4 linked regions of the Sus scrofa genome follow. The protein of the gene in region 4 interacts with the protein of the main gene of each other region in a pairwise test. Links are inferred from orthologs where the notes say so. Each region holds a gene or a part of one and is shown on either strand. Other genes may lie near its edges. The genes, in order: GEM, SLC23A1, CDKN2C and AHCYL1.

Region 1 (7,023 bases), about 68 Mb from region 4:
AAAACGCTGAAGTGGGAGTTCCCATCGTGGCGCAGGGGTTAACGAATCCGACTAGGAACCATGAGGTTGTGGGTTCGATCCCTGCCCTTGCTCAGTGGGTTAACGATCCGGTGTTGCCATGAGCTGTGGTGTAGGTTGCAGACACGGCTCAGATCCTGCATTGCTGTGGCTCTGGCATAAGCCGGCAGCTATAGCTCCGATTTGACCTGGGAACCTCCATATGCCGTGGAAGCGGCCCAAGAAATAGCTTAAAGACATTAAAAAAAAAAAAAAAAAAAAAAAAAAAAGGCGCTACAGTGAGTTTATCCTCCATATGCCGTGGGAACCTCCATATGCCGTGGAAGCGGCCCAAGAAATAGCTTAAAGACATAAAAAAAAAAAAAAAAAAAAAAAAAAAAAGGCGCTACAGTGAGTTTATCCTCCTAAATAGTTTTCCTATATGAAAGATATAGGAATGATGAAAAAGGAATCCTTTCATTTCAGGTGTTTAATGATACATGTTCCAAAGATGAAGTTCTTCTGCTTAGTAGATATTGGAGGAATATATGTAGAATGTTGTTGAAGGTGACTCAAAAATAATTTGTCTTAGAGGTCCCACTGTGGGCCAGTGGATTAAGAATCTGACTGCAGTGGCTTGGGTCACTGCAGAGGCACAGGTTTGATTCCTGGCCTAGCACAGGTGGGTTAAAGGATCTGGCATTGGATTCAGTCCCTGGCCTGGGAACTTCCATATGCCAAGAGTTCGGCCATTAAAAAAAAATTGCCTTTGTGAACTTTTACATATTTTACTTTGTATATGTACATAATTAATTGCATATTTAGAAAGTTTATAGCATCAATTTCTACATGGCCGTCTTATATAAAAGTGTTTAGCTGACCTTAATATTACTGTTCTTTCTTTTCCAGAAGATACATATGAACGAACACTGATTGTTGATGGGGAAAGTGCAACAATTATACTCCTGGACATGTGGGAAAATAAGGTATGCAGAACCTGTAAGTTCCTTCAAGGCTTGCCTTCCACCAGGCGGTTTGGTGCAAGGGTGACATTGTCCTTTGTGGGCAGTTCCAGATGAGTTGAACTCATTTTCTTGATTAAAAGCATTGACTTCTAAAGAATGAAACTGTTCTAAGGAACAAGTTGTTCATAAATGAGCTTTGAATACCAAGCAAGTTGCAGTGATTTGCCCTTCTATTCAGAAATACCAAAAAGTCAATTTGTTGTAGGGAAAGTGCCAATAAGTATGGATGATCATTTTAAACTGTGTAAAACCGTATTATACGACCTTGATACTCTCCATCCTAGTTTTCAGCATGTGCTTTGTAGAGATCTGGGGCTTTTGAGCATATACGTTAGATTTTCTGTTTATCGAGAACCTTCTGATGCTGATGAAGGAATTCTTGATTTCATCGGTTGGAAGAGGCGAAAGAGTTTTTTGAAAGCCAGGAAAGGCTCATTTGGGGTAGTTTAAATAAAGTTGGAAATACTGTTTGGCAGAGTCATTGTATAATTTATCAACTCAAGCTGTGAAAGGAGTCAGAAAGTAAAACTTCTTGGCATCCGTACCCCATGAGCCAGCAGTCTTTGTAGCCACAGACATCTTGTAGGCATGGAAGACCAATGCCTTTTGGGGAGTCGGAATGAATTTTCTTTCTTTCTCATATCAGCAAGGATACTTTAGGATACACGCATGGTTTCTTTCAAACGGACACCTCATTTACCAGCTCATCTGAACTCAATGGGAGTTCTTCTCATTTCATTAGGGGGAGAACGAGTGGCTCCAAGACCACTGCATGCAAGTCGGGGATGCCTACCTGATTGTCTACTCCATCACGGACCGCGCCAGCTTCGAGAAGGCGTCTGAGCTGCGAATCCAGCTCCGCAGGGCCCGGCAGACAGAGGACATTCCTATAATCTTGGTTGGCAACAAAAGTGACCTGGTACGGTGCCGGGAAGTGTCTGTATCAGGTGAGAGGAGTGGTGCCAGTTACCACAGACACTATCTCTGGGTCTTGGGTATTTTCCTTTAAACAGTTGCTCTTCCCTTCCTCTTACACAAAGCTGGAACCAGGGACTCTTAAGATGCCACGTGGAGTTTTACGCACACTCGAAGACACCCACATTCCCAATAGATCATCTGGTCTACCTGCAGGATTTCAGTCTCTCCATCCCCAAGCTTTCCCTGGAATTCTTTTAGAGAAGAGGTCATACTCGGGTTTACTGGCAGTTCCCAGCCCTTTTTTCTCATCCTCTCTATTCTCCAGGGACATCTCTCAAGAGTCCCAGGAAGTGAAAGTAGCACCTTCATGCAAGAAGGATGGGAACTTTGATTTCAAGAAACTATTGAGATTAAGAATTCTACTCTGGCTGCCTCTGATTCCTGTAGACCCTAGAAACACCCTTCCAGCCCCTACCCTTTGCTTCCTGAATAACCTTAACCTTAACTTTCCAGTTAAGGTGCCAGTCCAATGGCATCACATATACTTTGTCGTATTTAGTTCAGGCATGATTCCTATTTGTTGAGTTGGCACCCAGTGCCTTTGGGGCCCTTAAAATCTTAATTTTTTTTTTTGTCTTTTCGTCTTTTCTGGGGCCACACTCACTGCACATGGAGGTTCCCAGGCTAGGAGTCGAATCAGAGCTGTAGCCGCCGGCCTACACCAGAGCCACAGCAACGTGAGATTGAGTAGAGTCTGGAACCTACACCACAGCTCACGGCAACGCTGTATCCTTAACCCACTGAGCGGAGCCAGGGATCAAACCCGCAACCTCGTCGTGGTTCCTAGTCAGATTCGTTAACCACTGAGCCATGACAGGAACTCCCTAGGGGCTCTTAAAATTTTATTGGCCTAATTCAAATTTGGTACAAGGGTGAAAAAACAAAATACTGCATTGCCAGGCTCCGCCCAGGAGAAAAGAATGCTGTTAAAGACTAAACAGACCCAGCCAGCTTGGGAATGTCTTACTCTTAGGAAATGACTGTCTGCAGGAGTCATTTTTTCCAAAACCAAACTTGGACACCTGGTCATTGAACACAATGGAGCATTTGAAATTGAGACTGTTTCAGAAAAGCTTTTTTTTGTATCATTCGCCATAATTACACTGTACATGTGTGAAGATCCTCAAAATTTTTCAAAATAACTCATGAAAGCTTAAATAGTTTTTTTTTTAAGTAGGATTCTTTTTGTTTCTTTATTCATTTTTTAAACTTCTATTGAAGTAGAGTTGATTTACAATACTGTGATCATTTCTGCTGTACAGCAAAGTGACTCAGTTATATGTGTACACACATCCTTATTTTCAATTCAGAAAACTGAGTCAAGAGAAAGTTCTCTTAACTTGAGAGTGAAGCGGGTCTGGACTCAGATCCTCCACTTACAGGTTATATGAACTCCCTCAAGTTTTTAAAGGACCCCCCCCCCCCATCATCTACTGGAAAGGGATAATGTGTTTTTAAAGATAGTTGGGAATGTCTAAAAAATGTTTATACAAGATCCTTCTGTATAGCACAGGGAACTATATTCAATATCCTCTGATAAACCATAATGTATATATTCTTTTTCATATTCGTTTCCATATGTATATATAGGTATGAATCACTTTGCTCTACGGCAGAAATCAACACATTGTAAATCAACTACATTTCAGTAACGCTACAAAAAAATGTTTATGAAGTATTTAACCCAGTTCCTGGCACATAGTAAGCGCAATAAATTAAGGCTATGGCTTTTAGTATTGGATGGAATTTGACAATATTTGATGTAATTGGACCTTCACACAGGGTTTGGCAGGCCAGATCTAAAGCCCATCTCTCCTGCTTCTGGCAATCTTCCTGTGAGATTCTGCTGTTTAAGCTCCAGGAGGACACGGGTCCCAGGGGCCTCCGTATCCATTGCATGTGTGATGGACTTAGCATTACCTTGAGGACCATTTAAAAAGAGGATTCATCCAGCTTGGCTGTGTGTGTGTGGGGGGGGATGCTATTCTGCAGCCCCTCTGACTTTCTCCTCCCCACCCCACCCCCAACCAGAAGGCAGAGCGTGTGCTGTGGTGTTCGACTGCAAGTTCATTGAGACCTCAGCGGCTGTCCAGCACAACGTCAAGGAGCTGTTTGAGGGCATCGTGCGGCAGGTCCGACTCCGGCGGGACAGCAAGGAGAAAAACGAGCGGCGACTGGCCTATCAGAAGAGGAGGGAGAGCATCCCCAGGAAAGCCAGACGCTTCTGGGGCAAGATCGTGGCCAAAAACAACAAGAACATGGCCTTCAAGCTCAAGTCCAAATCCTGCCATGACCTCTCTGTGCTCTAGGTACCCAGAGTCACCCAGATGTCCCCCGATGGACGTCACTGAAGGCCATTGGGACCCATAATCTATATTAGATTGGATTCTTAAGTAGTGTAAGATGTGGCTTCCCCTGTTGTAGCTGGGAACTAACATGTTCGCTGGTGGGCAACATTAATGCATGGGAAATGAAAGATCTTTGTAAAGAGTCAGTATTTATTTACATGAAAAGCCTGACCTTTGCTACATGGACACCCGAGACTCGAGAGAGCGTGGTTGGTGTTCACATGTGTTTCCTCTCTCCTTTGGTTTGTAGAGGATGAGTGCCTAGGCAAGAACTTTTTCTTATTAAGATGTTGCCCGGTGTTCTGATATGTGACTCTGAGGCCAATCAGTGGGTCATAGATATAGGAAGGCTGTCAAAGGAATTTTTCAAAGGAGGGAGAACTTCTTTCTCTGTACCTTGTATTCGTGGAGCTAGGATTGCCCGACGGGGCTCATCACAATCATGACTATGATGCTCCATGAAGCTGTGAAAAGAAATGATGGACTTGCTGGAAACTAAAGCTTAGCAAACAGTTTTTTGTTCAATGCCCACAGTGGGGGATCCAGAAATTTGTAGAATTGGGAACTGATACCTGTACCACTAATGGGTTCAAAAATTCTCTCTTTACGACTGTGTCTTATAATTTTTTATTTAGGGGAAAATTATTTTAGCCAAATTCTATTGCATCAAACCACCTTTTGTGTTTCATTATTTTTCAAATCATAAGGGCATCATAAAAATATTTTTAAAATCTGAATTATTGAGAACCTGGAGCGCACAATGCAAAGTTTTTGAATATAATCGAAGGTCTGAATTTTTATAAAACATGAGACATAATACTTCCAATACTTTGGGTTGACCCTTGTATACCACAGCTTTGCTCTATTTATTATTATTTTGCAAAATAACAACCATTTTAACATTTGATAAAGCATATTTATGAACATATTTCTTAATGAGAAAAATGCTCATTTTATTACCATTTTCTATCTTTTTCAGAATATGCAAGTTTTTATCTATATGTCTTCTAATAAAAGAAATAAAATATTTGAAAAAAAGGCATTTCTAAATGTTTTTTCCTTCCCTACAAGGTGATTATGAATATTTTGCTATAGCTTCTAGAGAAAGCACATTATAAAGAAACACACTTATTGTATTTCTTCACTTCACTGGTGGAAGCCCAGTTATTATCTGGTGGGTTTTTTTTTTTTTTTTTCGCTCTTTATGGCTGCACCCGCAGCATGTGGAGGTTCCCAGGCTAGGGGTCAAATCAGAGCTGTAGCTGCCAGCCTAAACCACAGCTGTAGCAACGCCAGATCTGAGCTGTGTCTGCCAACTTCATCACAGCTCATGGCAATGCCGGATCCTTAACCCACTGAGTGAGGCCAGGGATTGAACCCGCAACCTCATGGTTCCTGGTCAGATTCATTTCCACTGCGCCATGATGGGAATGCCAGTGATTGTCTGTTTTAAAGAGTATCCCTGACATCTCTCTTTTGGAATGCAATTCGCAATAATGCAAAGTGATTTTTGGCTGATATAATTTGGAAGTATTTGGGATCCTGTAAATGCTATGTTACAGTAAAAGTGAGTTTGACTTTCATTTTGGTCTTGCAAATACCTGGCTCAGCAGATGGGCCTTGCTTTGCTCCCCAGAGGCTCTTGGTCCTAAGTACTAGAGGAAATTATAAAGGATTAGGGGTGGGGGGAAAGGAAACAGGTGATTTTCAGCCTGAGATCTAGCCAGGCAAGGCCTTAACTGCATTCTGTCCCTGACATAATTCAGCTGGACATTAATCACGTGGCTGCCATCCAATGGTCACATGTCATCTTTCTGCTGGAGTGAGACTTCGTGGTGCTCCTCATTCACCTCTCTGACCCCCACACGCACCCTCTTTCACTCTCGCTGCTAACGGTGACAGTCATGGGACCTTGCATGGTGTCCGGAGCGTCACAGTTTTACAGGATGTCTCTGCTCAGTGTTATTGGCCCTTTCTCCTGCCTTTTCCAAGTTGAGAGCAAAGGTTCCTGTCTCTGCACTTTGCATCTTTGAATTGCTCAAGGAAACAGTACAGGGAAGTGATCAGAGTATAAAGATTCAGGTAGCCCAGGCCCAGGCTGAATCTTGGCTGAGCCATTTAACATCAGTGTGACTTTGGAGACGTTAAAGGGTAAAGCTTCTAAACCATGACTATTTTTTTTTTTTTTATCTGTAAGTGAGATTGCTAATAATACCCACCTTGTAAGATTGTGAGATGAACATCTTTCAGTCTGTCATACTGTAAAGAGCTCAGGAGATGGCACTTTTCATTGTCACACATCTTCCACTTTCCATAAATAAGTTTTCTGTGTCTGTCTCCCCCAACTGGAATGGAAAATCCTTAAAATCAGAGACCATTACTGCTTTTCTTTTTCATCTCTTTACTCTCATCAGTGACGTTCCCTGCATATGTTAAAGCTTTTTATATTCTTTCTTCTTGAATAGATACTCCCAGTGGCCCCATGAGACTGACAGTCCATTTTATAGGCAAAAAGGGCTGGGGGTGGGGGGTTAAGTGACTTGTCCCAGTTCGTTCAGATGTGCAGTGTCTGGGCTAGAACTGGTGTCCAGATAGGATTCATTTGTATCTTCTAGAATCCCAGCCCGTTTCCTATACACTCAGCTCATGGACCATCACCCCTCCCTCCTCATACA
Region 2 (7,655 bases), on a different chromosome or scaffold from region 4:
AGGGGCAGAACGGAGGCGAGCCATTGAGGCCTCAGGCAGATTCCACCACATTTAGGAGCCTAAGAAGGAAAACAAAGGAGCCCTGGCCTTCCCTGCGCCCCCTTTCCTTCTCGGCGCCAGCTCCTGCCCTGTGAGCGGCCACGGGCACAGTCGTGGACACCAAGCCCCACTCACAACCTTCCTCCATCCTCTACCACACGACCACCCAGTCTTAGCCCCCCGCCCCGGGCCCAGGGCTCTGTGTACGTGGAGGCAGGGGGGTCGCCAAAAGGATGGACCACTCAAGAGTCCCACGCAGGCCCTAGAAGCAGGGGAGCGGGGGCTCCCCATTACCCGGAGTGACGCTTAACGGGGGAGAGTCCTGAGGGGCTCCCCGGGGGTCGGGGATCGAGGGTGGGACACTAGCTGCCCAGCTCTAAGGCTGGCCTGGGAGCAGGAGCGGCAGGTGGGGGCCGAGAGGAGGGGCTTCTCTTCTCCCCCAAGCTGCTCTGGGACTGCGCCTACCCTGGGGATTCCTGGGTGTCTGTCTGTCTGTGGGCAGGTGGGGTGGGGCGGCTCACCGGATGCCCAGTGTGGTCTGGATGAGGGTGGTGATGCCCACACAGGTGAAGATGGTGCCAATGAGCTGGCTGACCATGTACTGGTCACGGCCCACACACAGCGCCTCCGCCAGGAGGAAGGGCACAGCGATGGTGCCGCTGAAGCAGGTCAGGTAATGCTGGGGGCGGGGGGGGGGAGGGCATGAGGCAGGGCCCGGGCTGCCCAGGGAAGCAGGGGCACCCCCCCGCAAGCCCCCACGCCTGCCTCAGTGGCCCAAGCCCATGCCCACCCAGGACTGGTGCTCCCATCAGGGGTCCCACAGAGGGACTGCTCACCTCTCTGGGGTGACTAATCTGCCCCTAAGTTATTCCTGCAGCTTCTGTGGAGTGGCCCTCTTCCCTGTGGCCGGCACGCCGCCTGGCAGGCGATGCATCGTCCCGGGGGTGCAAACCTGTTGCAGGCTCACTTGAGCCTCTTCCCCACCCCTGCTTGGTGACAGTCACGGCCGCTGACCTTAGGTTCCTCTTCCTGTTACCCAAGGTGCCCTCGTTGCCCAGGGAGGGGACTGCAATCCTGATGAGTGTGCAGGGCAGGGATGGGAAGGCCCCGGGGAGACACCCACCTGGAAGCCGAGCAGGATGCACAGGTACCAGGGTGGCACGTCCTCGAGCTTGTACAACATGTCAGACTTGGGCTCTGTGGGCAGGGCCCCTGGGGGCTCCCTCGTGGAGGTCCCTGCTGAGCCCAGGGACTTGTGCTGGGGGCGGCAGAGAGAAGAAACTCAGCGTGGGGTGATGGGAACCAGCAAAGTCCGTCCTTCTTCAGAACCAAGCAGGCCCGTCAGCCTGGCCGAATGCGGTCGCCCACCTCCACCCAGGTCCATCCACCCAGCTGCCCCTCGGCCTGGCTACACAGCCCCCACATCGGGCTGCTTTGTGCAGCGATGGGCCCCACTGTGCTGGCTCCCGGAGCCCCCAGGTCCTGGGCCTTCACGCCGAGGAAATGGGTCCGTGAGTCAGAAGGCGGGACACCAGGCGAGGAGGCCAGCGGGGCTGGAGGCCTGGGCCCACTCTGGCCCCACCTCTGCCCCTTGGAGGACCTTGGGACATCACGAGCAGGTGGTAGGCTGGGCCCCTGCTGGCTGGCCCTCAAGCTGGAGTCAGCCGGTCCCAAAGCCACAGGCTCCTTCACCCCTACTGCTGCCCCTTCCCCGTCCCCCAGTGGCCACAGTCCGCCTGGGACCGTCACCCTTGAGCCTGGTGAGCAGAACCTTGCCCTCTGCGTGCCCAGGGCTCAGCCCCCCGCCCCGGCCCCATGCCCAGCACCTGGGTCGGGCCCTCGGCGTCCTCCCAGGCCCTCATCTCTGGGGCACAGGTGTGTGAGCGGTTCCTGCGGAGAAGAGGGGATGGCTTTACCAGGTCCAAGGAGGACTTTACTCCACGTATCAGGCATTGTTCGAAGTCAATCTGTAACCAGCTCCCGAAGCTTCGATTGCGAAAGAGGACCCAGGCCAATGTAACGTATTAACCCTGGCCGTAGCGGAAAAGGCCGCCCAGGCCTCGGCTCAGGCTTCCCTCCCGAGCACCCCCTTCCTTGCCCACACCCGAGCCTGGGCACGGGAACGGCTGTGTTCCAAGAGAGGGCCGGAGCGGCCGGCCTCGGAAGTTTATCAAGCCCTGGGTGGGGCGAGAGGAGAATGGGCACCTGTCAGCCCCCGGAGGAGGCTCTCCCCATTCATTAATGAGAAGTTAATCATTATCATCATCATAACCCATCTCCTTATGAAGCAGCAATTACGAGCCAAGCAACATCTGCGCACTGTCATGGGTTTTTAACCCCAAGCGCTGTGGGCAATTAACCTGCTCGAGAGCCGAGGAGAGCGATTTAAGCGATTTAAGCGATGCGGGGAACCAAGGCCACGCAGGTGGCAAGGCTTGAGAAAACCATTCTGAAAACGTCCCCGTGGTTAAGGGTTTGGCGTGGTCCCTGGTGTGGCTCTGGTCTGATCCCTGACCTGGAAACTGCTGCGGGCTGCGGGCACGGCCAAAAAAAAAGAAAATTCAGGTTGGCCCGAACGCCTGAGGCCACGCTGTTCATCACACCTTAAAGGCCCTAAGGGGTTGCCCTCTGCCCGCCCCCGCCCCCGCCCACTGCTCGCCCCGTCAGGGTCCCCGAGACACCTGACAGATGGGCCTCCGGAGAAGGAGCTGCCGAGGCTGGCCCCGTCTTGCCTGTCCCCTGTGTGGGGACAGGAATCCCCCCTGCGACCAGGACCAGCTGTGTAATCCGTGGCACCCGGTGCAAAATGAAAACGTGGGGCCCCTGACCCAGAAGTACTAGCCATTTTAAAAGAGAAACAGCAGAGCCTTAAGCAGAGTTGTGGGCCCTCGTGAGCCCCTGTGTGACCGCCACGGACGCCCTAAAGCCAGCCCCCGGCCGGCCTGTCCCCCACTCCCGGGGACTGAGGCTCCTCAGCTGGCGGGAGCTGGGCCTCAAGTCCTGGCTCTGCTCCTGCCGGGCGGCCCCAGCCCCACACCCCTTAAAGGCGTCCACCTACTTCTGGGTCGCTGTGCCCACGGCCAGGCCCTGCCCCGAGAGCTCACAGGTACCACCGCTGTCCAGCCAGGGAGCAGCCTCATGTCACCGCCCTGAGTCGGCCTGGCCGCGCTCTCGGGTCCGTCCCTCTGACCGCCGCCGTCCTCTCCTCCACCTTCTGGGCTCCTGCTTCCAGCTTCCCCAAGTCGTCTGACCAGTTCGAAGCCGCTGCTCCTCAGCACATTCCTCCTCCCTCCCGGCCCCTCCCCAGCACTTCCCCGGGGACTGGGGGGACAGCCCCACCCCTCGCACACCGTGTCCATGCAGAGACACGGACCCCGCGCAGAGCCAAGGCCAGGAAGTGCCACGTGGCCCAGAAACACAGGCACCCAAAGGACCCACAGCGCCCAGACTCTGAGGCCGGGGCCAAGCCACTCCACGCGAACACGGGGCCACACCGCGGGCTCCCAGCCGCGTCCCTGCTCCTGTGCTCGGCTTGTGAGTTCTCCCCTGGCGTGAGGGCTGCGAGCAGGAGGAGCCTCTGGCAGATGGGGAGCAGCTGAGGGATGTAGAGGCTGGGCTGGTGGTCAGGGCCCCCCGGGCAGAGCCTCTGGCCTCCAGCCCTGACCCACCCCACCCCCCAAACTAGACCCCCCTCCCAGCCCGGCCACGTGAGTCTGCCTGGGACTCCGGCCGGAGCCTCTTTGTTGTCTGAGCCTTGGTTTCTGCATTTGTCAACTGGGGATTGAGTGTCTGCTCTACCTCTCAGGGCTTCAGCCCATCAGAGCCTCATAGAGGAAACTATGGGCGGTAGTGCCACCTGAACTCAGGCACCCAGACCCAGGAAGGCCCCGGGCGCAGAGCCCGTCTCTGTTGCTACGGAAAGGGCCTCAGGTGTGAAGGATGTTGGGGGGAGAGCAGGGCACAGAGCCCAGAGCTGAAGCCAGCCTGTTCCAGGGAACCTGCAGGCACCTAGGGCCCAACCATGCCAGCTGGGGTTGGAGCAGAATCTAGAAAGTGAGTGGCCCATGGGTGTAGGCCCAGGGAGACCAGGGTTCCGGGCGGGGCACCGGGCACACGGCAGCGGTGGCAGTAGGCGTCCACCGGCGGCCCGCTTGCAGAGTTGGCTTTGCCTCTCTTTTCTCCCATGATGGAGCTGGAGTTTCAACCATTCAGATAACTGGTTCCCTATGCCTTTGACAGGTCCCTCTGATTCCCAACCGTAGCAGATCTCACTTACCTCCGGGAAGCCCTGCGGACGTGTCCCTGGCCCTTTCGGAGGGACGTCAGCAGAAACGGCAATGCTATCTTCCCAGCCCCCCCAAGCACCTTTTGCAGACAGGAGGGTCCGAGGTCACCAGGTTTTATTTGAGTCCAGGGGGCAGACCTTGGCCCCCACCCGGGCCCCAGGGCCCCCAAGCGGGCGTGGGGACAGAGAGTGTCAGCACAGACGACAGCCTTCCAGGCAGCTTGCAGAACGTAGGGGGGCAGGTCCGGAGGAAGCCCGGCGCTCCTCGGGGCCGACCAGGAAGGACAGGAGGAGCGGGTCTAGAGCTCTGCCCGTGGGCGGGGGGTCTCCTCGGAGCAGGCCCCTCGGGGGCCCCCACACAGCAACGCCTCCAGAGCCTCCGCACCTTGTCGGTGGGCTTCATAGATCTGGTCTTCTCCAAACTCCCCCACGTAGTGCCAGCAGGTCGTGGCGAGCCTAGGGCCGCCCGGCAGGAGCATCAGACGCTGCCCAGCCCACAGCGGGGCTGATCCAGGCCGCCCGGGCTCCACCCACCCCAGCCCTCCGGCCATCACCTGCCGGGCCACAGGCCCCCCGTGATCATCACGCTGATGCTCGGCTCCCGCCCCTTGCTAAGTCCTGGGCCTACGAGTCGTTTCACCTGGTCCACTTCTCGAACGCCGTAGCTGGAGGCAGGGGGAGGGGAGGAGAGGGGAGGAGAGGGGAGGAGAGGGGAGGGGAGGGGAGGAAGACAGCACAGAGTGGAGCCCGGCCAACAAGGGACCGTCCCCACAGGAAGCTGCACACACCGGGGCGTCTACCGAGTTTCGTGCCCAGATTCTGATCCTCCTTGATGGAAGACGGAGGACCAGAAAGCAGAAGTCCCTAGCCCAAAGTCCCAGAGCAACCATGTCCCCTGGCCGCTACCCTTCTACAGAGCTCAGACTCTGTCCTGGCCAGTCCCCCGCCTCGGGCTGGAGCCCTAGTAGAGTGTGGGCGGTGTGTGGGTAAGAGGGTGAACCACCCCCGCCCCCCCGCCCCATCAGCCTGGCCCCTGGAGGAGGAAGGGAGGGAGGGAGGGGCCGGGTTTTCAACTCACTCCTGCCAGGTCTGGGAACAGCTCTGATCCAGAACATCTGTGTATACGGACTCACTCAGCCTGTGATGGCCCTCGGAGTCCAGGGTGTGAAGCTTGGCCTCTGCCTTTGTCAGATGTTGCTGCATCTGGAACAGAGGCGTTGAGAACCAGGGCTTGAGAAGGTCTCGGGGACCGGGGATGGAGAAGGGAGGGAGGGCAGGAAGCTGGGTCTTTGAAGAAGAAGGAGGCAGTGCAGCCTTTTGGACAGGAAGCACCTGTGAGCAGACGAGCTCCACTGCCCAGGGAGGGGCGGAGGAGGTGGGAGGTCAGGCCTGCGCACTGGGCTCCCCCCCAGGGTACACCTGCCCATCAGCGTATGCTATTTTAAAGCACAAGAACAAGGAAAAAAACCGCCCAGTCTTCAGTGACACGTGTACTTATCGCCCCTGCGCGTGCACACACACACACACACACACACACACGAGTACTCAGACCAGCTCGGCAGGTTTGTATGTGAACTCAAGACACACACACGCTCGTGTATCCATGAACTCAAACGTGATACGTGTGCACATACGCCAGTGCTCCCTGGTCATGCTCTGGGAAGGAGTCCAGACCTAGGGATGAGCCTGGAAAGGGAAGCGTCTGAGAGGATAAGCTAGGGACTCCCTGGAGTCTCAGGATACCGTGGGGCACCCTAGATGGTCTGCTCTTTGTTGGGCAGACAGGTAAACTGAGGCATGGAGGTTCCAGGGGGTGAAGATGGCAATACCATGGCAGGCTGAGTCTAGCTTGATGCCCAGCGGGTGGGGGGTGGGGGGATCAAAGGCCAGTGCTGGAATCCGAGGAAGAAGAAGGGGTCTGGCTTGAGGAGGGGCCCCGGTGGGGGCAGGAGAACTCACCTGGTAGACCACGGCCCTGCAGGCATCACAGCGCAGGTGAGCCGGCATGTGAGCTGAGTACTTCTCCTCGTCATCCAGCTGGGGGGCAGTGGCTGAGAGTGGGGCCCTGTCCCCAAGGCCCCCTGGGATGGCACAGGCCCCCAGCAGCAGTAGCAGCAGCGGTGACAGCCTCATGGTCCGTGGAGCCGGCTCAGTGAGCATGTGCTGGGGTTGGGGTGCAGGTGCGTGTGCGCAGTGGGGGCCGCCCCAGACCAATGAGGAACTGACATCTCACCCTCCCTTTCTCTCCCCACCCCCACCCAGGCCCTGGAGACGCCACGTAGGCACCTCTTCTAACGGGACCCTGGCGCCAGCAAATTCGGCTCCATTGCAATGAGAGGAAACAATGAGGCCAGGAGAGGGGCTGCGCCTGGGCAAGGACACCTGGGGGCGGACACCTCTCTCATCCTGGGACCTGGCCACCTGGCAGGCACTGTGCTAAGTTCCGTGGGGGCAGGATGATTGCTTATTGTCATCTTTAATCTACCCCCGCCCCCCAGGATACAAAGGTTCAGAGAAAAGTGACAACTCCAAGGCCACACAGCGAGAGGGGCTATGCTGAGATTGGAACCCATGCCTGGTTGACCCCAAGGAGTCCCGGCCTCTCAGCCACCAGGAGAAATGAGGCCACAGGCATGGTTGGCAGCTTCGGGCTCCCTCCCCGAGAGGCAGTTCGCTGAGGCAGGGACGCCACGGTGTATGAAAGACACGCACGGTCCCCTGCCCCAGGCCACAGCCAGGCCTGGAAGGTAACTGTGGGGAGCGGGGGGTTGAGGGACCGCAGCAGGAAATCAGACTCTTGACACCAGTCTTTCCAGCCATCATGGCCACCAGGTCAGCGATTTATTGCACACCACGACGAGGGGGAGGCGGCCCAGGGCCCTCCTTGCCGTCAGAACCAGCATCACTAGCCACAGGAAGATGGCCAGGTTCTCTCAGCTTCCAGTCCAAGGCAGGGGGGCAGTACCGCCAAGGGACTGGGCGTCCCTAGTGGCCTGGAACCTAAGGAAGGCATTGATCCCATCCCTGACCCTGCTCCTAATGGTAACTGTTCTTTCTCGAACTCATCACATCACATTCCAGCCCAGCAAGGCCCCGCCACGTCGCTCTCACCTCCACGCAGACCCCACACAGAGCCCCTTCCTGCCCATGCGTCGCCCTCCCCGCTCCTCTGCGGTTCCTGGAATCTCAAGGCAACTGGAACAGGGGGTCTGGGTCCTGTCTCTTCCTCTGCTGTGACCGGCTTCAGAGCCAGCCCCTCTCTAGGCCTGGGTGCCACATCTGCCACTGGGGGGGCTGGAACCAGCTGAGGGGGCTGCCCCCCCTCCACCCT
Region 3 (7,416 bases), on a different chromosome or scaffold from region 4:
TTAACACTACTACTCAATTATAATGTAATTTATGAGAAGATTAATGATGCTACAGCATCAGACCCACACTTAAATAATCAAAAATATACTTAGTGATTTAGTGTTTAATGATTAAATGTTCCTTAGGAGACTAGCCTGATCCTGGACTCTTTTTAACTCATGGTTACAATTTATTACAGGGAAAAGATACAGGCCACAACCAGCCAATGTTAGAAGCACATAGGGACAAATCTGGGAGAGTTCTAAACACAAAACTTCAGTGTCCTGGACTCTTTAATGGAAAAGGCATAACATTTGGGGACCCAAGACCTGAGTTCACATCCTATATCCACTACTTGGCTTTAAGTCACAATATCTATAAGCTTCAATTTCTTCATCTGAAATATCTTATTTACCTCATAGAGTTGTTAAAATTAAATAATGTGTGCATTATATTTTATAACTAGGAAACACTATACAAATGATAATTGTTATTATGTTTAACCTTTTGAGATGCTTACTGGGCATATTTTTTCTTACTTTACAAAAAGACTTTCATAAGTGGTGTGAGTACCCATACGAAAAAGTCTGCTGAGTCTCAGAAATAAAATGCCAAAACCACAATTATGAAATGATAAGAAGGCCCCCTGAGGGTACTAATCTGTTTCCTACCTCTGTTGGATCCATAAATACAATAAAAAGAAGACTTTGGAACTATGTAAAGAAATTGTAAATACCATATACACATACCTATAAGTTAATCATTCAGAAACTATGCATATTTGAGTTAATGAGAGGAAAAGCACAAAATAATTTGATTACAGTATTTCTATGAACCCTTTAAAGAGCATGAACTGCTGCAAAGAAAAAGACTTCCATAACTTAATATTTTATATCGAACTAAAAGGCTCTATTTCTGCGTTTGTGAGAATGAAACATCAATAAAATAGATAATTATGAATGTTTCTTCTACACTATGTCATAATAGAAGCTTATTTAAGGCAGAGATACCTTTGAATCTATGAACTATCACTCAATTAATATAAGATTTACATTGGAGGTCCTTTGTAGTGCTTACTTATGCTTTCTGAACTAAGAATGCAACCTCTATGCTGCCAGTTGTGTTACACAATAAGCAAACAAAGCATATGTTTTAAGACACAAGGAAAGCCAGAGTGAAAGCAAATGAACAGAAACTTCCTTAAGGAATTTAATACTGCAGTAAAAGCACCTAAGTAGTCATCATGGGAAAAATCAGAACTTTGTTGGACTTCTTTACACTTACTTTTTAAGTTTTGTGTTATTTTGATTTATGTATGAGGTAAGACCATGGGACATCAAAATCTTTTCAGTGATTAGGATCTCCGAAAATCTTAATCCAGCTCGTGTATGCATCTTAAATTACTATAAGCTTTATTTATTCAGTTATTCAGCAAAAGTATTTTATTTCATGGCAATTATAACACATGTATACCTATACTTTACATAATGAGTACAATTTAAGATTCTTCCTGGAGTTCCTGTCCTGGTGCAGCAGAAGCAAACCCGACTAGGAACCATGAGGTTGAGGGTTCGATCCCTGGCCTCGCTCAGTGGGTTAAGGATCCAGCGTTGCCAAGAGCTGTGGTGTAGGTTGCAGACGTGGCTCAGATCTGGTGTTCCTATGGCTCCGGCATAGGCCAGCAGCAACAGCTCTGATTGGACCCCCTAGCCTGGGAACCTCCATATGCCGTGGGTGTGGCCCTATAAAGACAAAAGACAAAAAAAAAAAAAAAGACTTACTATAATCTCTTCTTTTAGCAAGAAACCATAATAAATGCTAGAAAGCAACATTCATATTTTTCAGAAACCATAATAAATGCTAGAAAGCAGCTTTCATAAATTACCGGTTATCTCTTATCAGCTAACAGTTCTACTATATCATCACACACCCCAGCTGTACTGAAAGATTACATAGTAATTTCCCAGAACCATTTATGTAAATTGTATTATCTGTGGTATTTACTGGTATATATGGAATCCTAAATCTTCTATTTGAAATATCTAAATACATGTAAAAATAAGAGGAGTTAATTTCTTTTGCTATAGTTCATTTTTCATTCACATTTCAAGCTTAGTTACCTAAAAAAAGAGCTCTGGTTATTTACTTTTTTTTTTCTCACCAATTCGGTTAAAGAGAACACTGCCAGATTCTTCCCAGTTTCAACTCTCCCTCTACAATCTGTTGCTAGATGATTATCCAGATATTGTTGGTGTGTTTTTTGTTGCTAATAGTCCCCGTGTACTTCAAGGAGCTGGGTATAGATGTTGCTTGAGGATATTATGCCTGCTATAGGCCAGTAATAGTTAGACCACCTGTCTTTTTTTTTTTTTTTTGCTTAGTTTCATTTTGACCACTAGGTGCACCATGCAGCAGTGCTGGATATTTTTAAGAGCAAAAAATATAGAAAGCAGTAGTTGATTAATCTTAAATAGCTACAAGAGGAAGTAAAAAGTACAGAGAACTGGTGTCCTGATGACTGACCAGGGAAGATACGATTCCTTTACATTTACATCCCCCAAAACAAGTCTCATCTAAGAAATTAAAGAACTGTGACAGTAAAGAAATAGTCTTGTTAGAAAACCCTTCCCAGGACTTATTTTTTATTTTGCTTTAAAGTTAGTTGCTTTTCTCCCTTTCCCCAAAGAAAGGGAATATTTCAAGTCCCTGTAACATGAAGGCTTCAGAGTTCGTCATGATTTCTTACCTATACAGTGCCTTCAGTTTTCGCAAAAAATAAATAAATAAATAAAATAAGAGGAAGAAGGCTATAAAAGACTTCTCCTTTTTCAGAGCACTGTTTTTGCTGTCATTTGGGTTTCTCCCTCAACCCCTGCAGCTACCTCTGTCCATCGTGGCCCTGGTCGTTGATCTGGCAGGTGCGAGGCCGCAGCTCTGGACTGAGAAAAGGAGGCCGAGTTGACACGGCTCGCGCCCCAGAAGCGGCGGCAGCCGTAGGCCTGGCTGCCCGAACTTCGAGAGCCTAGCGCGGGAGCGCGGAGGCGGGCCGGCCTGCCCCGCCAAGCCCGGGGAAACACTCGCTTCGGGCCAGCTTTCCGCCTTCCAGCAGCCAGACCCACCGAGCTTTGCTCTCCACAGCCTTAATTAACAAGCCTCTTTCACCCCACCTCCGCCCCACCCCCGCTCCCGGCCCCGGGCAGCCCGGGGTTCCGCAGACTCCATTCCGCCCGCCAGTGGGAAGAGGTCAAACCCTGCTCCACCGGGCCGAAAGCCGCTCGAGCTGGGGCCGGGCCTCCGAGCTGGCGGGTGGGAGCCAGCGCAGGAGACGGAGGGAGGAATGCAAGCTGCTAACAGGCTAGAAAAAGGGCGCCGGGCAAGGGGCGGGGCGAGCCCGGCCGAGAGCTCGAGCGCCGCCAGCGCGGAGGGCGGGGCGTGGGCGGCGCCCTGCGTTCCCGCTCCCGCGGCCAGCAACTCTGCAGAGCCTCCTTAAAACTGCCGTTAAAATGGGGGCGGGTTTTTCAACTCAAAAAGCGCTCAATTTTTTTCTTTTCAAAAAAAGCTGATGAAGTCGGAAAAAGGGAGAAGAAACCGGCACCGTCTCTGCAGCAGCAACAGAAGCAGCAATTGTTTGAGCGAAAAAAGAAGCAAGGGAGGGAGGGAAGGAAAAGACCAGAAAGGGGCACGACGCACAAGTGTCTGTAGGGGTGAAGGGAGCCGGGACCGGTGATTTGAGGGGGACCAGCTACAAAAGAAACTGTCACTGGGAGCGCTGCGGCTCTGGAGGAAGCAGTGCTACCCGGCTCCGCTCCGGGCACAGCTGGCTGGCGGCCTCTGCCCTTTCGGCGCCACAGGCTGGGGGCACAGGCCAGGGGACCGCGAGAGGTTGGCGAAGTGGCACCGGGCGCCGAAGCCGTTGGGCTTTCCCCGAGAGGGCAGCGGGACTGGCTGTGCCTTGGAATTGTGGCAGCACCCCATACTCAAAGCTTGGCCTGGGACCTCCGGGGACCCTCGCGATCTCCAGAGGACCTCAGAAAACCGGGAAAGGAAGGAAAAGAGGCGGCGGCGGCTGAATGAACTTCTGCAGTAGGAAGTCTGAACTGGCTTGGTCGTAGGCGGGAAGTTCCCGGTGGGCTGCCGTGTGCGACCGCGATGCTGCAGCGCGCTGCCTCAGCGGACCCGGACCCGTAGACGCTTCCCGCATCGCTCTCCCCCGTCCTCGCTTCTGGAAGCCCCGGGACCCTGTGGGGCCGGCATGACCGGCTTGCCGGGGACCCGCCGCGCGCCCGGCCGTCTCCGGAGACGCGCGCCGAGCCTGGCTCCCACGGCCTCTGAGGCTCGGCGGGGCTGCGGTAGCCGGGCGGGCGGGCTCCGGAGCCCTCCCGCGCGGCGTTAGCCCGCAGCTCGGCCCGGACGCAAATAAAGGCTCTTCCCGAGAAGCCAAGGCCACTGAGGAGCTGTTGCGATCTGTAACTTGAGGGCCACGGAACTGCTACTCTGGTTTGCTTTTGGCGATCATCTTTAACCCCCAGAGCACGTCAGCAGCCAGCCACCGCGGCGCTCTCCCTGCAGCGGAGGACGCACGACTACTCTTTCGGCGAGACGGATGGAGACCGAGTCCCCCCGAGGACCTGCCCTGCGGTTCTGGCTCGCGTGGCTCAGGTCACCACCGTGAACAAGGGTGGGTGAATGCCTTTTCTTCCCCCAAATGTCTCTTCTTCCGCAGTATTTTCTTCCCTGATCTAGTCCCTTAAATCTCCGCACACATTCCTCACAGAGATTAGCAGTGTACGTACGTGACAGCTCAGCCTACATTTTACGTCCAGAGTAATTTACCAGGAATATATGTGTGTCTGCATATCTCTCTGTTAATCACTAGACTTCTTCATAGGGGTTAAGCTAAAAAGCGAGGAGCGGAGCCCCTCTCCAATGGCTCAGTTTTGCTGAATAATCACGTGTGAATCGAGGGGCGGGCTTTTGGCAGGCAGATCTTACTAGTATTTACTACCAAGCTCTACTCCAGATTAACCATCCCAGTCCTTCTGTCAGTCTCCGATGCCATCATGCAGCCTGGTTAGGAGCAAAGGAAAGGGGAAAAAGAAAAACAACTAATTCATCTTTTCCCGATCGTCAGGACCCTAAAGAATGGCCGAGCCTTGGGGGAACGAGTTGGCGTCCGCAGCTGCCAGGGGGGACCTAGAGCAACTTACTAGTTTGTTGCAAAATAATGTAAACGTCAATGCACAAAATGGATTTGGAAGGACTGCGCTGCAGGTTGGTATCCAGAGAGGTGGGGAAAACAGGTCAACAATGTTGCCTACGTGACCCGGGTTTCTAGAATAATAGCTTTTAAGCCTTCAGGGGTACAAAATTTCACTGTTTTTAAAACTAGTTGGTTGCCATATTTTATATCTTTAAGTGGATCCAACTACCCAAAATGACGTACTTTGAACGAACTCGTCAAATCCAATAATATCCTCGATATCAACTGGGTTCCAGGTTTGGTCTTAATTTTTGGAATGTTTTTGTGATGGTGGGGATTGTAAAGCATTCGTAGCAGCGCGGAGTTTTTTATTTTTGGGTTTTTTTTTTTTTTAGACAGCTCTGTAAACACATTATTATGATTATTATTTGAAGTAAATACACTGCTATTAGTGGTTTCCGAACTTTGCTCCAATAATTGACTTTAATGTTAATTTTCTTGACTACTGGCGAGGGTGTTTTTCTTCAAAAGCTTCAAGTTTTGACAAACGACCTTTCCTCGTTTGGAATGGGTGGCCTGGGCACGGGCACAGGATGTACATTTCACAGTTAATGTAATACCGTCCACCCATTCAGGATTGAGGAGGAATAGAAAGTTGAATTTTCTAATCAGAGCTCAGTTTATAGTGTTTTTGTCTCTGTGGTCATACCGTGGTATGTTCTAATTTTTAGTAATTAGATTTACAAGCAACAAATGAAACACATCCAGCTGCCAAATAGTGTACCTGGTAATTTTTTTCCTTCTCTGAACTGATCTTGTAACTTAGTTGAAAGACTTAGAAACAGAAAGATGGTAAAGTAGTCTCAAATTGTTGATCTGAGTTCTGATGATATTCTTATGAGCTCTTCAAAATGCAACACTTAAAGCTGTTTTGAAAATCCAATGGGAAGTGGGTTTTTAGAGTGCCTTATTTTAATCGCAAATATTAGAAATTTAAGTGGCAGGAGATGTATTATTAACAGACGAAGTCCATACAGCCTGTATATTTTAACAGAATACACTGGCCTTGCAAAAAATTTCAAATGTATTAAGGAAGCTTATACATAGATACTAAATTATTTATCTTGTTATTTCAGGCAGATTCATTTTTCCACCTAGTAATTTGGTGATGATAGCAATGCCACAAATATATTGAAAAGTTTCCTATTGAAAATTCAAAGTATTATATATATCTTACAAAGAATGAGCCACTTAACCCTCTACGAATAAGATCTTACAGGGCTTTTGATGAGCACGAGGACTGGGAGATTAATACTGAAAAAAAAAAGTTCTGACAAACATTTTTAATACAACTCTGCAGTCCTGTTTATATTAAACATACTTATCAAGATACTAACACCCACTTATTGTGGTTTAGCCCTAGTACATAAAATGAAACGCACACAAACAGGAGTCTCAAGGCTTATTTTCAGTATGTATAATCCTAACTCTGAAGTTGTGTCATAACTCAAGAAAGAACTTTCTTTCAAAACAATTTCTACTATTACTATTATTTTTCTGTGAAATATGGCAGATTTCCTCCTGCAATTATGTTTAACTCAATTACAAAGGATCTTCCCCCCTTCCTAGTGTAAGTTTCTTAATCAGGATAATATCAAAGGCCTTGATCGTACATGTGCTTTACAAAGATCCAAAGTGTCTGTCTCTCATTTTTCCCAGTCCAGGTCCTTAAATGACTAATATTTAGAGGTAGTTGTGGTTAAAATTAAATTGTGTTAATTTTTAATAACCAAAAAGTATATGTCATTGATATTCTTGAAAAATAAGTTATGTATCATTTTTAACCACTGCCCCAAAGGAAGGGCTAATGGTCAGCAAGGTTTTATCACCAGGGAAGCTTGACATCTTGGCCATCTATATAGTTTGCACTTATAGACTATTATTCCTTTTAAATGTATGTTATTATATTACTTAATTTGTGATTTTTTAAAACAAACATTCTAAAGAGATAAGTCAGCTTCGTATGTGTTTTCCAATGTATATTTAATTTCAAAAACATTTGAGTTTCTACTATGCAATCTATCATAAATTTAGGTTATTATGAATATACCTAAATGTAAATTTAAAATATTAAAATGCTGAAATTTTCTTACACATTAACAAGACTGTATTTTTCACAACTAAATTACATGTATTGTGTAACTGCATGCTGCTCAAGATATTTTATAATTATGAG
Region 4 (6,919 bases):
AGAATCGTTGACGTTCATGGCTGGAACACAGAGCTTCCCAGCTTTGGAGAGCTGATACAGCCTAAAAGGAGAAGAAGCCAAAAAAACAAACAAAAACCAAATTAGCTGGTAAGACAAAGGAGCTGGCAAAGGCTGCCTAATTCTCTTCAAGCTCCATGTTGCCCTCCCCAGTCTTACTTATAGTCCATGAGTATTAGTAAATAAGATGCTTCTGCGTTATCCCTCCTCACTTCCTTTCATTTTCTCCTCCCCACCCCCCTTTTTATGGAAGGGAAAAAAAAAAAAACAAACAACCCTTTCAACTGAAGAAATTTACTTCTCTTCCATAAAGGGGGATACAGTTGATTAGACCAGCATTTTCTCAATTGTTAAAAAATACTCATGTCTATTTCTGATAAACGAATATTATCAATGTTTCTGATATGGTTTCATGTGGCATGTGCCGGGGTGTATGTGTTTTTGTTTGCTTAAGCGTGTGCAAGGTGCCCCAAACGAGAAACACTCTCTCAGCTATCTTTTAGGTATTCCAACAATACTTTACCCAGTTCTATAATGTGTATATAACATATGGTTTTACAATAGATTTTTTTCATATTCAAATATAAAATTAAAATACATAATTGAATACAGTTTTTCAAGATATACTCACTCCCTACCTCCCAACACTGATTGAGACTCACAGTGGAATAAATGGGAGAGAAAAATGGGTGAACGAGAATTTGAAATAATTTCCCTTTAGGGTTTCCTTGATTTTTGCAAAGGTAATAACTCAGAAGTTTTATCTAATGACAACACTCCCATTTAGTTACAAATCTGAAACACAGCCCTACAGCCTAGGAGAGACCAGAGGAATCTGCTGCGGCAAGGACACGAGGGGCAGCTACTCCAGAATCTGTTACCTGTGAACACCAGTCACGCTCTCTTCCACAATGCCTCGGATCTTCTTAAACACGTTTGGATACTTCTTATAAACCCAGTGGGTTAAGTCTCCCCCATCATCCAGGATCTACAGAACAGCCAGAAGACTTCTATGGGCATTCAGGCTGCTAGAGCTGGGGGGAACTTTGAACCCACTTTCTGCACTAGTAAGAGAGCCCTGTTATGTTTTGGAAGAGCAATTCTCAGTGCTCCTTAGAGCAGGTTCGGACAGCGGAAACACAGTCAAATTTGTTGGTGTAAATGGTTAAAAGGGTTCCTAAGTTTGTTCTAGGCTAAAAGTGAAGAGTAGTAGGCTAATCACAGACTCATTTTTTAGTCTAGAGGACTGAAATACAGGCCCTTTGAATGCAAAAGGAGAGCTGGGGCAGGAAGGAAAGAAACCAGAATTTGATTCCAGAGAGGTACCATATCATTTTCTTCAATTGCATTCTGCTGTGTTTGAGCCACATGTGTTCAGTTGGTCTGACCCTTCCCCCGCCTCTCCATTCTGTACTCAGACCCATTCTGAAGAGCTATCAAGGTAAACATTACGGCAACAAAGTGAGTGCATAAGACCAAATATCCAAAACATATTTAGGGAACCATGCTTTGAGGGAAAAAAAAATGAAAGAAATCCATCGTCAAAGTGTAGGATGAATATGCATTATTACCATGTTGGCTTGCCACCCATCCATGTTCACACAGCGGTCAATACACCACCAGAAGTCATCTTCCGACTCGCCCTTCCAAGCAAACACGGCAACTCCTGTGGTACAGATGGAAAGAGATCAGCTGATTCCTCCTTTGAAGAGTGTCCTATACCAATATCACTGTCTGAGATCAGACGAAGAGAAAAAGGCTGTAGAAATTACCCTGGAAAGGAAACAACTGATGAAGGGCAAAAAGTTAAAAGAGCATCTTTAGTTCAGAAATTAGTTAAGAATTTTAGGGATTTTTGTTTTTTAAAGTAGTTTAGAACCTTAAAATGTTATTCTCTTTGGCCAATTTTATGCCTGAAACTCTATCTTAAGGAGATAAAGTGGGAATCACCACAAAGTTGTTCATTACAACATTACTTATATTAGCAAGTACCCTACAGTTTCAACAGTAGGACAACAGTGAAGTGGAATCACACGGCCATAAATGATGTTGTCGAGGTCTGCAGTGACATGGAAACTACTTCTGAAAATGTTCTATTAGGTTATACAACTACATATATTACTGAGATTTGTTTCATCTCTGTAAAAAGTAAATAGAAGAAAGGAAAAATATGTCAAATATTATCTCTGTGTAGCAGGATTATGGGGTTTTTTGGGGATCCTCTTACATTTTCTGCAATAAACATCAGAAAAGAGTAAATAAGAAAAACAAAAGTATTATAGAGTTGCTTTCTGAGGATCATAGGAAAAGGGGAGAACCTTCCTAGTGATTTTCCTTTGAACATTTGAATAATAAAAACTGTTTTATGTTTAATTGAACTCGTAAGTAGTTCATATATTTTTAATGCAGTACTGAATACCAAATTTTATAATGAATGAGGAAACAGAAGATACTTCTTGGGTTCTCTCAAAAGTGATGAGATTTTTGTGAAAAGACACCAACTGAGCGCACACTTACATAACTCACTCAGCTTAAAGTTCTTTCTCATTCATTTAACATTAGAATTGGGCATTTTCCTATGTATCAGATTCTTTTCAAAGATCATTTTAAATGACTATATAATCTTTCACTATGGATATAGACCTTTATTATCCATTTCCTTCCTGCTGACATTTTTATTATCCTCCACATTTTATAGCCCCTAGACATATATGACACTGTGAAGATAATCTTGATATGTAAAAATTATGTTTAGATAATAATTCTGAGGCAAAATTGGTGAAATAAACTGAACTTACCAGCCTCAGCCAGTGCTGCAGCCACTTCATTCTGAGTGGAGTAGATGTTGCAAGCAGACCAGCGGCACTGAGCCCCCAGGGCACAGAGTGTCTCAATCAACACCTATGTAGTGGTATAGGAGGACAGGGTGAGAAAGAGAAGGGCCAGAGAAGAGTCGTAATTGAGAGACTAATACCCAGCAACTCGGCAGCAACACAAGTTGCTACACTGGAAGTTACAAAAGGGTATAACCCACTAGTTAGCACAGTGGAATCTAACTTTACCCAAAAGATGTGACCCCCAAAGTCTTAATAACATTTTTATAACAATCATATTTTTGCAAATCTCCCTAAGGTTTGTTAAAAGGTTACACCTATACAAACAAAGTAGGAAACCTCAGTACTGTGTAATTGAGAGGTTCTCTCTAGTAGTTAGCATTTGGAGGTTAGGTAAATAGGGAAGCAAAAACAAGTTAGAAGAAAGAAAAAAGAAAAAAGAAAAGGTCCCTCTTCCTTGCCAATCAGAAGTCCATCACTTTTCTCCCAAAAAACTCACCGCTGTCTGGGCTGTGATGTGTGTACAGCCCACTATTTTAGCACCAGCCAAGGGCTTCTCCCCCTGAGCACGTTTCCTGAGTGAAATCAGAGCAGACATGTCTGTGAAAGAACAGAGGATTTGAGCTAGGTCTGCACTAGCAATATCATTAATTCCTGCCCCAGCAACATCTAGGGCTGGTCTGGATCTGTTGAGATACGGAGGAAAAACTCTAAGCATATTTATTTGATGCCTGGTAGCTTCAACTGCCGAACAGTGGGGAGTTGTCATCTAAGCACTTGAAATTTCTCTCATCCTCACTATTCTAGCCTTATATGTAGAGGGCTTATATGGAGTCAAATTCTCAGGTGATCACAATGGAGGGTGAGAGTTACTCTTCATTTGGGAGAAGAGGGAAGTAGTTATTGGCTAATGGACTCCCACGTATTACAATCTTCAGAGCAGGAGCAGAGACTTTACTTCAGCAGAAACCACTTGCTTCTGTTTTTCCATGCTCTCTAATCCTATTCTGTCAGTCTGTCTGATTTCTACACATCCTGCCAGTAGAGAAGGTGCCTTCAGTGTGAAAGCGACAAAAGAGTAAAGAGACCTTATTGGGACGGGGGCTGGGTAAAGAAATCAAGATTTAACTGTCAGTCATTTTCACTCTTGCTCCAGCAGAGGGTGCTCAGGATCAAAGACCAAATAAGACCCTAGGTCACCACTTCCTTAGCTGAAAACCCTCCCCAGTTTGCTGCTTCTGGGAAATCTGGGTCTCTACCATTGGCAGCTATGGCAAGATCCTGCAGAACTAACCACCATGTGGCATCTAGGACTTGCTGACTCCGCACGTAGATCTGTGAATATGGAGTCGGGGGAAAGGAAAAGAGAAACTACTCTGTAATTATTACACGCCGAGAACGGGAAGCAGGGAGAACAAGAATAAGAACAGGAACAAGAATCCTGAGGCTCAAGCTCCATACAGGGAGAGCTGTTTATATAAAAGCCCAGGATACTTTCAAACTCAAAAGTTCCCCAGGAGACTTTCAAGCCTTAAGTTTTCATGGATCCTGATGACCAGCAAGTGGGTTGCTTCTGGTCCCTACCCAGTCCCTTTCTTTACCTTGTTCTGCAATCTCAATCTCCCGGCGTCCAAATTCTGCCTGCTTGATGTTCTTCACACAGAAATTGCTGCTGCCCTTGGAGTTGGTTTGCTGCTTTTCTCGGGGGGAAACCTCATCATCAGAGCTATCTGTGTAGGATGCAGCTAGAGCCAGGAAAGAAAGAAATGAGGAAAGAAAAACTTGAATGGCCCCAACTCCACAGGGTGCAGTCCCTAAGGGACTGTCATTTAAGTTAGGTGACACTCAGTTGGAGCCACCTTTTAAGTCACGCTCCATTCTACTCCTCCAGGGTCTTCTAAGAGATGGTATGAATGAAACTATTGTAGATCTTTCAGTGTTGTGGCCCTTTTATCCACCCTGATGACACCTTGCCATGAGTGCCTGTGATAGGGAGCTACTGATTCCAAACCTGCATCAGCTCAAGTGAATCCCTCAAAATAGGGACACTTAGTCTCAACCTGGGTTGGAACCAGACATGGCAAAAATGGAAGAGTAATTTAGGGCATATAAGGAATGCTATTTATATCAATGGTTCTCAAACTTAAAATTCTAAAGCATTCATGAGAATCACATGGAAGGTGTGTCGAACCATAGATGGCTAGGCCCCACTGCCAGAAAGTCCCATTCGGCAGGGCTCAGGTAGGACCCAAGATTGAGCATTTCTAACAAGTTCCTACGTGTTGCCGACGCTGCTGTTGAGAGGACCGTACTTTGAGAACATTAATAGAAAAGGATAAAAGCAATGAAATAATCTCATAAAATCTTATAAAGGGATTTTATACTGGTTGTGCTAAGAAACATAAAGAGAATGACACAAAAAGTGAGCAGTTCTGGTTATACTGCCGACTTTGAGAACACACAAGATATTCAACTTAAAAAAGCAGCTTCACAAAAAGTTAAAAATGTCCTTTCAGATGGATATACAGGAAAATACACAACAATCAGCCCTTACCTCTCAAATAACCTCTTTTCTAGCAGAATATTTTTCTGATTGCCGTCTCTGCCAGTGTGTCAGATCTCTGGCTGACTTCTATGTACACGTCCTCTTTCTTTCCAACTACCACAAATACTCCTGAAGGTTATCGACCCCATGAGGACAATTTAACTTTATTGTCCTTTAACTTTTCAAGCTTTTAAAAATTCTCTGATAGGTCCCCATAAAACATGGTCATGAAAATCTCTGAAGACTTCCTTGGAATATTCTTGTGGTGCAGTGGGTTAAGAATCCAGTATTGTCATGGCAGTGGCTTGGGTCACTGCTGTGGGATGGGTTTGATCCCTGGCCCAGGAACTTCCACATGCCATGGATTCAGCCAAATAGAAAAACAAACAAATAAACAAACAAACAAACAAAACTGAGCAATTCCTTAAAGCTTTCTTCACTCATCCCAACTTTCTCTTATAACTCAATCTTTCAAAATTCTTTCTAATTAGCCTGTTTGTCACCTACCACTTTTTGTATCTGTCTCACTCCAAGACACCTTTTCCCTTATGATAGTGTTATATCTGGAACCTTTTCTTGCACACATGCCCACAGTGAGCCTGCACATTCATTTATTTCAGTACCTAACCCTGTATACCACCATCTGTACTTGTCTGCCTATCTTGTCTATACTGGGTTATCAGTGGCACAGGGCAGAGAATAAGTCTTTGGAAATGTTTATTTACTTTTTAAAAATACAGTCCTTGTACCTCAAAGCCCAGTCCTTAATATTAATAATACAATGCAAACAAGATTCTGGCAGAAGAAAATAAATAGCTTTTGGTACAAATCTCTTTCCTGACACTCACAGCCATCTATGACCTTGGCTAAGCCTTTTAATCTTTTAACAATGTTTCCTCAATTGAACAATGAGGGGGTTGGATTAGATGTCCAGTTTTTTCCAGTCCTCAAACTAGGATTTTATATCCTTTTACATGTTAATTTTCTAATACCCCCTTAAAGTTGAGAAGGGCACAATTCAAAGCAGAAAAAAAGGCTACTTATACAGGGTTAGGGTACGAGAGGAGAACCCTAAGCAAACAGCTGAGCCACACTACTTTGGCTTTTTCCCACTCCAGAGGAGGATATTTCAATGCAAAGTTAACCTAGTAAATAAAAAGAGCCCAAAGCAAAAAAGAAAAATAGGTGACAGGGTCTATCTTAAACAAACAGATCAGAAATTATGATTCCAAAGTACACCCCTTTTCCAAGGCCAGTTCTGTCAGCCAAAATACCACTGACTCTCTCTCTTGGCGATGTGGATGGATAAACGTGGGAATGGGTCCTGGCCCAGCACTACCAACCAGGCACCAGCCACAGTCCGCCCACAGAGACCATCGGGGAGGGAAGTTCCAAGATGACAAAAGCTTCTCCAGCTACAAGCCCGACTGGGAACATTCCCATTGCCCAACCGCTAGTTAGGAGCTTTCAGCACAAATACTTGAGGTAGTCCTGACTTGAGGTATTTTCAGATGCTAGCTGA

What was found.
Region 1: the proteins of AHCYL1 (region 4) and GEM interact in binary tests that used the Homo sapiens proteins (3 or more experiments, as listed by UniProt). The two-hybrid records come from large-scale screens. The link is inferred for Sus scrofa from reciprocal best matches to the Homo sapiens genes AHCYL1 and GEM.
Region 2: the proteins of AHCYL1 (region 4) and SLC23A1 interact in binary tests that used the Homo sapiens proteins (3 or more experiments, as listed by UniProt). The two-hybrid records come from large-scale screens. The link is inferred for Sus scrofa from reciprocal best matches to the Homo sapiens genes AHCYL1 and SLC23A1.
Region 3: the proteins of AHCYL1 (region 4) and CDKN2C interact in binary tests that used the Homo sapiens proteins (3 or more experiments, as listed by UniProt). The two-hybrid records come from large-scale screens. The link is inferred for Sus scrofa from reciprocal best matches to the Homo sapiens genes AHCYL1 and CDKN2C.

What each region holds. Positions count from the first base shown.
Region 1 is NC_010446.5:42,466,552-42,473,574, forward strand, and holds the end of GEM (GTP-binding protein GEM), read left to right. Parts: intron 1-906; coding exon 907-983; intron 984-1,764; coding exon 1,765-1,969; intron 1,970-4,031; coding exon 4,032-4,309; 3' UTR 4,310-5,390; downstream 5,391-7,023. UniProt on the Homo sapiens protein: Could be a regulatory protein, possibly participating in receptor-mediated signal transduction at the plasma membrane. Has guanine nucleotide-binding activity but undetectable intrinsic GTPase activity.
Region 2 is NC_010444.4:141,273,119-141,280,773, forward strand, and holds the start of SLC23A1 (solute carrier family 23 member 1), read right to left. Parts: upstream 4,438-7,655; 5' UTR 4,316-4,437; intron 3,970-4,315; exon of another isoform or gene 3,803-3,969; intron 3,512-3,802; exon of another isoform or gene 3,098-3,511; intron 3,080-3,097; exon of another isoform or gene 1,956-3,079; intron 1,930-1,955; 5' UTR 1,902-1,929; coding exon 1,866-1,901; intron 1,298-1,865; coding exon 1,163-1,297; intron 719-1,162; coding exon 561-718; intron 1-560. Other genes in the region: MZB1 (marginal zone B- and B1-cell-specific protein), read right to left, coding at 4,624-4,780, 4,879-4,989, 5,403-5,527, 6,284-6,484.
Region 3 is NC_010448.4:161,162,677-161,170,092, reverse strand, and holds the start of CDKN2C (cyclin-dependent kinase 4 inhibitor C), read left to right. Parts: upstream 1-3,411; 5' UTR 3,412-4,658; intron 4,659-4,721; exon of another isoform or gene 4,722-5,111; 5' UTR 5,112-5,122; coding exon 5,123-5,251; intron 5,252-7,416. UniProt on the Homo sapiens protein: Interacts strongly with CDK6, weakly with CDK4. Inhibits cell growth and proliferation with a correlated dependence on endogenous retinoblastoma protein RB.
Region 4 is NC_010446.5:110,100,123-110,107,041, forward strand, and holds part of AHCYL1 (adenosylhomocysteinase 2), read right to left. Parts: intron 4,598-6,919; coding exon 4,454-4,597; intron 3,453-4,453; coding exon 3,352-3,452; intron 2,920-3,351; coding exon 2,817-2,919; intron 1,685-2,816; coding exon 1,590-1,684; intron 1,007-1,589; coding exon 900-1,006; intron 62-899; coding exon 1-61. UniProt on the Homo sapiens protein: Multifaceted cellular regulator which coordinates several essential cellular functions including regulation of epithelial HCO3(-) and fluid secretion, mRNA processing and DNA replication.